Linked DNA regions of Danio rerio. The protein of the gene in region 3 binds, or shares a complex with, the protein of the main gene of each other region. Links are inferred from orthologs where the notes say so. Each region holds a gene or a part of one and is shown on either strand. Other genes may lie near its edges.

Region 1 (3,698 bases), on a different chromosome or scaffold from region 3:
ATCGCGCAGCCCTAATTCAAGTATACAGATATTTGTTAAACTACTTTCTATGATTCTTCCAAAACTTTGTGGGTTTTTCTGGTTTTCCAAAACTTTTCCAGGCCTGGAAAATGCCATGTCAAAATTCTATGACTTTTCAGGGTTTCTATGACTGTATGAACCCTGGTTTGTTATGTAGAATATCGAAAAAATATATAGCTTAAACGGGCTAATAATTTTGTCATTAAAATGGTGTTTGAAAAATTAAAAACTGCTTTTATTCTAGCCGAAATAAAACAAATAAGACTTTCTCTAGAAGAAATAACATTATCAGACATACTGTGAAAATTTTCTACTCTGTTAAACATCATTTAGACAGGATAATAAATAAATAAATAAATAAATAAATATCTAATATATAATATAAGGGGCGGCTAATAACTCTGACTTGATTTTCAGATTTCAGGCCTGCTTGATCTCAAGTCATAACTCATAATAACTTTTTGTCTGACTGAAGCCATATTGTGTCTGATCAGCAAACTTTGATCAATGACAAAAAAATCAAAACAATTTGAATGTTACCATACAAGTTCCATGTTAACACACTTACCCATTTTAATACATAAAACTTGAGAAAATTTTTCAAATATAAAAATTCACAAAGACGAAAGCTATTATTAAATTTCATAGTTGAAAATATTTTTAAATACATAATATAATTAAATTTATAAGTGCATATAATCTATATAAATGGTAACAATTTCTTAATTAAACGATATTACATTTTACAAACAAAATACTGAAGTAATTTCTTCATGCAGAAATGATTCATGTGTAGACTATCATAACTGTTAAAAGAGGGAATTTAACTATAACTCAATGCTAAAACAGCTACTATAACATTGTTTATCAATATGTTGACCTTTTTGGATTCTCAGAAGCTATAGAAATGAAAACATGTCAAACAGAAAATACATTGGGACTAGGCATGGGATGACAACTGTTTTCAAGGTTTACCGCGGTTTGGAAAAAGTCCAGGTTTTAAAACATTCAAAATTTTCATGTATTTCATTCCTAAGGTATGTGTAAGATTTTTTATTTACGCTTTTTTAGGCCAACATCTTCAGCAGAGTAGATATCCAAATATGTCGTTTTAAATTGTAGAGAAATTTGTGTTTTTGAAGGCAGCAGAAGAACGTGTTTTTTTTTTTTTAGACATTTAAAAGAAAATATTTTAGAGTTGTGATCACAAAACTGTGATATTTCTATCTAAGGCAGTGGTTCTCAAACGTTTTTCATCAAGTACCACCTCGGAAAAAAATTGTCTTTGCAAGTACCACCATAATGAGCAGTTTTGAAATACAGTAGCGTATTAGGTCTAGTAAAGCAGCTTAAGCTCTGTACAGTTTAAAAAAAGAAATAACTCCTGGTTTGTTAGCACCTGGAAAAGTTGCCTAGACCTCATAAATATAGGCTTCATGTCATCATATTCGTATATAAATCATTTTTGATAATTTCTTTAAATATATGTAGCATGTACATATTACATATTTGATTCATCCGCGTACCACTAGAAGAAGGCCTGCGTACCACTAGTGGTACACGTACCACAGTTTGAGAACCACTGATCTAAGGTTATCATAGCATCAGAATTCTAAACCACCCATGCCTAATTGGGACCATTGTTATTGTTTACGTCCCTCAAAATGGTCTAAAGTTTCAACAGATTCAAGGATATTTTTTAAATAATTTAAATAAAATATACTGCTAGTTTTCTAAAACTAATATAGCTTTCATATACTATAACCATAAGTTAAAGATATATTTACACTATAAAGGGATAAATCACAGGGAAAAAAAATAATAACAGACTCTTTATTCTCCCTCAAGTTTATTCCTTCTGTTGAACACAAAAGATATTTTGTAACAAGCTGAAAACATTGACTACCATAGTAAGAAAAACAAATGCAATGGAAGTCAAAATATATTTGTTCAACCGAAAAAATTAAGTTAAACTGGTTTGGAACAAAATAAAAAGTGAGTAAATTATGAAAATATAAAATAACTTTTGGTTGAACCATCCCTTTAAGATGATCATACTGCGTACAAACTGAACCAAATACAACATCATGAGCTCAAATAGTTTTGTGAATTTTGTGCATTTCTTCGTGTTAAATTAAAAATTAGTATTATTCTTTGTCTAGTAGTGTAGTCAATTTGAAACTAGAATGAACTTTTTAAAAGGCTAATATGGGTTAAACCCTGGACTGATCAACCAATGGGCTTAACAAATACCTGAAAAAACCTTAATCTTACCCAGTCTCTCCTTTGTTGATAAACTTCTGTACTTCTTTGACTCCTCGTCGGATCTGTTTAACTTTAGCCGCTAAGAAAATATAAATATAATAATGAATAACACTCATAACCAATGAACAAATGACTGCAACCACGTGTCTGCAACATATTAAACCTACAGACAGCGATATTTAGTATACTTTCATTCACACTCGCAGGCAATAACGTTACTCTTTATGAATGTTAAAAACAAGTTCTGAACACGTGTTTACCTTTCTTGACGCATTTGTAGAGCTTTTTGCTAAGTTTTCGCGATGCTAGCGGGTTTGCGATTGGGTTAATATTAGCTATCAACTCTTGATATGATTTTTCCGTCCCTCCGGTTTCTTCTTCCCCGGCTTTCTCCTTCTTTACCTTTGTCATCTTTTGTTAAAATGTACACAAATATACTTTAGCGATTAACTTAAGGCTGATAGTGTTGCAGGCACAGGATGCAAGGCACAACACACGTGCGGTGACTATAAACGTATTTCCGGTGTTTTTCGAACACTGCAGTATTTCCTCCATAGAGTCGAATAATACATAGATGCCGCTCTCGACGGTGAAGTCTAGATACAGCTGCGGATCATTTTTGTATAACAATAATATTTTATTAGTAATATATTTTTAATATATTGTATAACACTGTATAACAATAATATTTTTACAGTATTGTGACGGTTGAGTTTAGGGGCAGACGTTAATGAAATACCATTTATTTATTTATAATAAATAAGTGCGGCAAAACGGCCGTTTTTACATCACTGTATAAGCTGGCTTTAGGGTTGGGGCAGACGCTAATAAAATACAATAAATAGGAAACTTAATAAACAATATAAATGATTACTGTTAATTTCCGGCCGCAACCGTATCTGAGCTAGAAACCGCTCCAGACTCCGTCCGCCAACGGTAAATTTAGCTTGCACTTACCACTTCGATTTTAATTTATAAAGAAACTGGACATTTAGAGGGGGAAATGTAGGTATTTTATAATGGCATCTTAATTCATGGTTTTATCAGCAGTATTGTGGGGAAATCATTTTACAATCTAAAGTCATTTGGAAAAATTAGTTAAACGTGTTTACTTTTCAAGAATGTATATGTTATTGTGAAAGATTACTTTTTATTATACACATCAACTAATGCATTCGTGTTGCTAAAAATACATTAAAATCTATTGTAGATATATTCACACTTGCTTGTTTTTACAGTCAACTTCTCGAATATTTTGCTCGTTACATGGCAGAATCTAAAAGAGGCATCTATGTATCTACATCTAGAATGTCGTGTTTTTGAGTTGTTTTAAAAACACTGACCCCTAGTGCACAAAATGAACAAACGAAAAGAAAAGACTTTTATTCAGTCATCAGCCTCACACATCCACT
Region 2 (3,659 bases), on a different chromosome or scaffold from region 3:
CAGGAAATTGATGCATTTCCATTAGGCATATTTTCATTGCAGTTCCTTTTTGTGCAATTTTAATGGTAGTGGAAATGCAGCTATAAACAACCTATGAAGTTGGGAAAAGTCTTACAGGTGCAGTATGTAAGTTTGAGACCCAGTGGTTGAACTAGGTATTGCATTCCTGGATCAAAACAAATGCAAGTACAGGTTGCCAGATTAAGAACCAACAGGAGCGAGCCTGACAATTGAGCTAAAGGCTGATTTAAATTATATTCTTTATATAAGTAACGGGTCGACGCGGTGGCGCAGTGGGTAGCATGTTTGCCTCACAGCAAGAAGGTCGCTGGTTCGAGCCTCGGCTGGGTCAGTAAGCGTTTCGGTGTGGAGTTTGCATGTTCTCCACGTGTTCGTGTGGGTTTCCTCCAGATGCTCCGGTTTCCCCCACAAGTCCAAAATCATGTGGTACAGGTGAATTGGATGGGCTAGGTCTGGGATGGGCAAACTTGATCCTCGAGGGCCGGTGTCCCTGCAGAGTTTTGTTCCAACACTAGTCAAAAACACCTGAACATGCCAATCAGTGTCTTCAAGATCACTAGAAATCTATAAGCAGGTGTGTTTGATTAGAGTTGGAGTTAAACTGTGCAGGACACCGGCCCTGCAGGACCGAGTTTGCCCATCCCTGGGCTAGGTTGTCATAGTGTATGTGTGTGAATGAGAGTGTGTGGGTGTTTCCCAGCGATAGGTTGCAGCTGGAAGAGCATCTACTGCGCAAACACATATGCTGTAAAAGTTGGTGGTTCGGTTCACTCCACTGTGGCAATCCCTGAATAACAAAGGGACTATGAATGAATGAATGAAAATAACACAAACAAGAAAAAGAAAAATGTATATAATATAAAATAATATAATAAATTATATTTACGTTCAACCCTTTTTCAACCTGAACAAAAGAACGTTTGTGTCACACAAGCAGAGCAATAATTACAATAGCAGGGTAGAAGCAACATCAATGAGTCAGTCACTACAAACATGCTAAGATAATTATATCCACAGCCACTGTCTAGATCAGAGCCAAGCATGCCATGTTAGCTTAATCAAGCCAAATATGTGTTTCCCGCCATGAATGTGTTTGGAATGAATCCACCCAAACAAACAAAAAGAAATTAAATGGGATTACAGGCATTCCACACCCATGCAAGCCAGCCAGTCGTCTTAATGACCCTGATTAAGACCCGTTTGAAGAGTGAGAGTGATTGATGTAGTGGTTATTCCTCTATGAGAGGGTCCCTCACCCATGGTGGGCCGCTGCTCGCAGTCTCTGCCAGGACGGTCGGTGTGGAAGACCCTGACGATTTTATCAAAGCCGCAGTAGAGCTGAGAGCCGTCAGGAGAGAAACACAGTGAATGAGCCGCTGTCAGCTCATCCAGGTGGTTGTAGGGTCGAAAAGATGCACGAAGGTCCCCATAGAAGGCGTCCCATATGTGGACCGGGTTGTCTCGGCTGCTGCTGGCAATGCTAAAGGGGAAACAAGAAGAAAGAGGAAAAATTAAATACAGTGAATGTTGCTGCAAAGACTAAAACCAGTTTTCTCCCAACAAAATCTATTGTTTTGGGGAAAACAAGAGATTGCAGTATCAGACTTGACAGTCAGTCTGGCTTCCCTTCAAAAGGCAGCACAAAAGACCCATTTACAATTGAGAATCTAACAAACGAAGAGCTACAGCAGCTTGAAATCAAAGATGACAAATATTGCTAGACAAAAAATATGAGGCTTATGTGAACATGTTCTTCCAAAAGTTTAGAAAATTCCTAGGAAAATGGATCTGGACAAAATTAGTATATATGCATACATATTTTATGATGACTTTACATTAATGGAAAACTTTTTTAAATATAATTTATAATAGTAAAGTGTTCCCTACACATATTTTGCCCAGGTTCAACTTAAAAATCCCATGATCCGCACTCATTGAGTTATTGCATTATATTTATTATTTCACATTCTTCTGGAAAATAACTATAAACATTTCAGCTCAAAGCCTTTCTCAGTGTGTGAAAAATTTTATTGACATTTGGTGAAAAGTTGGTTTACATTAATTAATTAATTGATTTAGCAAGTGCTATTTATTAAAAAAACAGTTGATTTACTCTTCATTTTAAAAAGAATGCATTAAGCAAATCAAAATTCTCATCAAAAAAAGAGAAATAAACAAAAAATGCATTATAATATCATATACAAACTACAACAGATAGGGAGTAAGGGAAAGTAAAAAAGTGGGATAAAGTAAAGTGGTCAGAGGAGATGGGTTATTTTATTTTTTGTTGATTCTACCATGATGTGGTAGGTAAAGCCACAGTCAGATAATTAATTTTTTTTGATGTAGAGTGTCGTAGTAATTCATAAAAAAGACAAATGGGCGTTGTGAAACAAGATTAAATTGTTTCTTCTTGTGTATTATTGCATAATCCACAACAACCGATGCCATGTCTGCGACGCCTCACGACACCATCGCAGAAAGTTTAGCATGTTTAATTTTTTCCCCATTCTACTCGACAAGTTCCATCACATGGGTGACAATAGGAGCACATCATTTCTCAGTTATCCGCGGGTGCTGCCGTTAATACAGGCTAGATTTTATTTTATTTAACAAACCAGTTCGTGTTTTGGGGCTGAAGCATATCAGACTTGTTTGAAGTACTTCACCTCAGATGTTATTTTTTATCTATAGTTAACTGACCAATAAAAAATACATTAAAATTAAGATACAAATTATACCACGAAAAATATACTAATTTTGTTTTGTTTTTTTGAGCCTGTCCATTACTCAGCTGTGCAGGTGGATGATTTGTTCCGCTCTGTGCAAAATAAGGATTTAAATAATCCTCCACGGTAATTGTTGCATCACAAACTTCTGTTATAAATTTGCTTATTTCTTTATTAGTCATTATTTTGACTTAAGTTAAAGTTTAAGTCTTAAATTTGTTTTCTGTCTCACTTGCTGCAAGTTCAGGCGAGGGAGTGTTTTATAGGCAACCCATAGCTGGAAAATATAGCTTACATTTAGATTTAAAGGAAAAAATCTTAATATTAAAAAGGAAATATATGTTTGATCCTATCAATGTCATAAATTCTCTTAAATAATATAGTCTAGTTGTCAGCAAGCATCAGTGCTTATTAAGATTGAAATAAGATTAAAAAAAAACATTAAAATTAAGATAAGAAACATTGTTATAGCAACACTCGTGAACGCTTTGGGAAATAACGCTCGTCGAAAACATTATGGCATGAGGGAACGTGAAGGAATGTGTAGTGATTTTATCAAGACAAAAACTGCATCATCTTGCATAGTGACTTTCGTAACCAACAATAAAAATCATGTGATTTGACCGGGGCTTAACATTATTTCACTAGCGAGAAAAGATGATTGAAAATATTGAGGAAATTTATATTGTGCCTTTTTGATTAACTAACTAAATACATAATCCAAATAAAATAAATTAGTAAAGTAAATAGCACAACAGCAATAAATAAAACAAAATATACACTGCACATTTATACAATCAAAAGGAGAAAAGCTTCTTTTTTGCACATCATTTTTCTCTTTTCAGAATGTTTTCTCAATCAGTGTAAGAAAGGACTGCCAAGTGTTCATATACAAATTAAAGCGCTCTT
Region 3 (3,757 bases):
CCACACAGTGTTGGACACCAATTAAACTAACAAAATAATTTTTACATTTTGAGTGTAAAGTTGAGAACTTTTTATATTAGCGGGATAAATAATCCATCTGCTTTAGAAAGTAATGTTCTACCTGTTAATGCTAAATCTTAAGTCTAAATATTAGCATTTCTATGATCTTTCGCTTGACACGTACGCTTCTAATGCCCAAACACAAGCTGCGTCCCAAATGGCACACTATACACTATGCACTCATGCACTATGCACTTATGCACTTACACACTCAACAGAATAGTATATGTATGTAGTGTTGTCCCAAATGGCACACTAATGTTTTTTTACTAAGCGGAAATTCAAACCGTTTCCCTGATGACATTTGACGGTCGCCAAATCAGTGAAATAAACAACCGAATTATCAAATATTACCTGCCGTGAGTATTGCCGCATTCACCATCGGGAGGCGCTATAATCACTCTCGTAGGAGAATTTTGCTTTCACCATCCAAAATAAATAAAGTTATCCAACATGCGCGTCCGATAGCTCCGCCCCTTCCGCTACGTAAGCAAACCTGCGGTCGTTGAGTGCGTGAAGTGTTCATCATTACACACTTCATTTTAGCGGCTGAATGAGTGCAGCATCCGGGTAATTAAAGTGCACTTATTATTTTGAGAGTTTTCAATGTGAACACACTACTTACACTATTTATACTACAAAATGGCGTAGAATAGTGCATAAGTATGCGATTTGGGACGCAGCTATGGTTACTACTTCCGTGTTGGCGTGTTTACGACAGTCTGCGAACCGGTGTTCATTTACGGCAGGCTGTGCACTGCAGGCAGGCACGTGTGGTTCAGAGTCAACAGCGTGTTGATCATTCATATTCCAACCACACAACTTTAAAGGTAAATAAAAAATTTGTACTTTCTCTTTGATTTTAATAGTAAATTGTGTGTACGTAGCATATCTTTTGGTATTATGCGCCCCTTGTTTTACTCTCGGAAGTATTAGACATGCTAAAAGCTAACCTCCATGCCTGGTTCAGCATGTACGATAACTAGTACCACGAGCTTTATTCTGTTTACGAGAGTTTGTGATTATGATAATACATAGATATTCTAATAATTACTTGCATGTATTAATATATTATCAGCATTCGCAATAACCTTTGCATCAAAACTGAAGAACGTTTGATCTGCTTTTAGCATTAGTTTGCTTTTAGTCTGAGATTACTTTTAAGAGGATAGTTCACCCAAAACTGAAAATTATGTCATTTATTCGCCCTTTACATCTTCCAAGCCTGTTGGCCTTTTCCCCCTCTGTTAAACACAAAAGAAGATATTTTGAAAAATGTTGGAAACCTTAACCATTGACTACAGTAGTAGGATAAATACATATTATGGGAGTAATAAAGGTTGTTTACAAGCTAATAAATTGAGGTAAACTTGATTTTATATTCGCACATTCGCACAACACAGTGCACTTTCAGATTAAAACATTAGCTGGATATTTCACTTCACTTAGAGCTGCGTTACACACTGCATGGAAGGTCATTTTCAAAAACCCACAATATGATGACTTCATAGTAATGTGGAGTGAAAAGTTATTTTATAGTAATTTCTGTAAAGGCTATCGTAGGATGTTTAGGTGCTGCAAGAATCCATTTGGAATTGCTCTGCTTATCAGGGTTTCCATGCTTCTTGAAAGTACTTGAGTATCAGACATATGGAGTCAGTGCCTGGAAAGTACTTAAAAACAAACATTATTTGTCTTTAACATTATTGCCCTATATATCCTGAGATTTGATTGATTGTATTTTACAGGATCTCCGTCATGTCTTTCCGTGGTGGCGGCGGTGGTCGAGGAGGAGGTTTTAACAGAGGTGGTGGTGGTGGTCGTGGAGGCGGATTTGGAGGTGGTCGTGGAGGTGGATTTGGAGGTGGTCGTGGAGGCGGATTTGGTGGGGGTCGAGGAGGCAGAGGTGGATTTAACAGGAACCAAGACTATGGCCCACCTGAATATGTTGTCGGTAAGGTTTCTTTCTATTTTGTCTTTCTGATGTCTTTATGTGATGTGATTTTATATTTCTGCTCATTGTGTTTTTCAGCACTGGGGGAGTTCATGCACCCCTGTGAGGATGAGATTGTCTGTAAATGTGTGACGGAAGAGAACAAAGTCCCATACTTCAATGCTCCTGTATATCTGGAGAACAAAGAACAGATTGGAAAGGTGGACGAGATCTTTGGGCAGCTCCGTGATTTTGTATCCTTAAATTATTTTGCATATGATGTTGGCAGTGCTGTCAGATGACTTCATAGTAATGTGGAGTGAAAAGTTATTTTATAATCGTTTCTGTAAAGGCTATCGTAGCATATTTAGGTGCTGCAAGAATCCACTTGGAATTGCTCTGCTTATCAGGGTTTCCATGCTTCTTGAAAGTACTTGAGTATCAGACATATGGAGTCAGTGTCTGGAAAGTACTTAAAAACAAACAAAGGTCCTTGACGGTGCTTAAGTAAAATTTCAAACCAAATTTGTTTATAGTGTTATTTCAACTTTTGTACTGTGCTGCTGTCAAAAACAGAATAAAAGTCGGCGCCAATAGCCTAGTGGTTAGTGCATCACATAGCACCGAAGTGCTTGCATCGACCCGAGTTCGATTCCCGTCTCGAGCCCCTAAAAAAACCCCTAAAAAAACAATTTAAAAAAAAAATCTTCTTTAATCGTGTATTTAAATTTTGTGTAATTACAATTAATGCACATTTGATCAATATTTGAGAAACTTAATTTGAATATTACCAGTATCAAATTCAACAAATTTTATTAAAGTTCCTCGAACATGATTTATTACTCGCAATACTTATGTAAATATTGTAAATACTAAGTGTAAGTGAAATGTAAGGTATAGTAATTACTTTAAGTGGCACTACATATGCTTGGGTATGAATTACAAATTTGATTTAAACATTAATGGTGAGTTCTAAAAAAATGAATGATGACTGGATTTGAAAAAAAAAAAAAACCTTGATTTGAAAATTTACGGTGCTTTAAATGTGCTTGGATCTGGTGTCCATGAAAGAGTGGAAGCACTGATTTATAGATGCATGTGTTTCTAAGACCTCTAAATGTTCAAAATGATCAGAACTGTGCTGAAAACGACTTGCAGACAATCTTCTTTCTTATGTATATAGTCCTTAATCATTTCTTCAGTATTTTTCAGTCAAACTTTCTGATAATATGAAGGCATCCTCATTCAAAAAGTTACAGAAGGTAAGTTCAGCCTTTTGAATTTTCTTTGTTCTCTGTTTTTTAAATGTTTGAACCCCCTTTTTTGTAAAATGTAGGAAGTTTTATTTTGCCTTATTTGATTTTGTAAATTAAAAAAATATATATTTGAAATGTATAATAATTATTGTCACAAGCTACACTCATTTTTTTATCTTTATTCAATTTGGAATGAAAATGTAAATAACACTAAAACAAGTAACATCAGTAAAAAAATGAAACGTGAAAATCTATAACCGTAAGCTAATTTATTACAAGTTTATTAGTGTTATTAAAGTTGTAACATTTCAAAAGCATAATTGTTCATATCAGCATTTAATGCAATAATACCAGGGCTGCACGATATTGAAAAAAAAAAACTGCCATTACAATATCATTTTTCTACAATATATATTGTGATATTGAGTGATTTCATGAAATTAATATCTATTTGGAAATACTTTATCATTTTTGATACATTGGGATGATTACATAAAAGAAAATAAAT

The links.
Region 1: gar1 (region 3) and nhp2 share a complex: the UniProt entries of both Homo sapiens proteins name them as parts of the H/ACA small nucleolar ribonucleoprotein (H/ACA snoRNP) complex. The link is inferred for Danio rerio from reciprocal best matches to the Homo sapiens genes GAR1 and NHP2.
Region 2: gar1 (region 3) and wrap53 share a complex: the UniProt entries of both Homo sapiens proteins name them as parts of the telomerase holoenzyme complex. The link is inferred for Danio rerio from reciprocal best matches to the Homo sapiens genes GAR1 and WRAP53.

The regions. Positions count from the first base shown.
Region 1 is NC_133196.1:33,053,622-33,057,319, forward strand, and holds the start of nhp2 (H/ACA ribonucleoprotein complex subunit 2-like protein), read right to left. Parts: upstream 2,831-3,698; 5' UTR 2,698-2,830; coding exon 2,547-2,697; intron 2,366-2,546; coding exon 2,296-2,365; intron 1-2,295. UniProt on the Homo sapiens protein: Required for ribosome biogenesis and telomere maintenance. Part of the H/ACA small nucleolar ribonucleoprotein (H/ACA snoRNP) complex, which catalyzes pseudouridylation of rRNA.
Region 2 is NC_133182.1:20,898,638-20,902,296, reverse strand, and holds part of wrap53 (telomerase Cajal body protein 1), read right to left. Parts: intron 1,502-3,659; coding exon 1,278-1,501; intron 1-1,277. UniProt on the Homo sapiens protein: RNA chaperone that plays a key role in telomere maintenance and RNA localization to Cajal bodies. Specifically recognizes and binds the Cajal body box (CAB box) present in both small Cajal body RNAs (scaRNAs) and telomerase RNA template component (TERC).
Region 3 is NC_133189.1:48,215,065-48,218,821, reverse strand, and holds the start of gar1 (H/ACA ribonucleoprotein complex subunit 1), read left to right. Parts: upstream 1-798; 5' UTR 799-890; intron 891-1,808; 5' UTR 1,809-1,818; coding exon 1,819-2,014; intron 2,015-2,092; coding exon 2,093-2,247; intron 2,248-3,195; coding exon 3,196-3,255; intron 3,256-3,757. UniProt on the Homo sapiens protein: Required for ribosome biogenesis and telomere maintenance. Part of the H/ACA small nucleolar ribonucleoprotein (H/ACA snoRNP) complex, which catalyzes pseudouridylation of rRNA.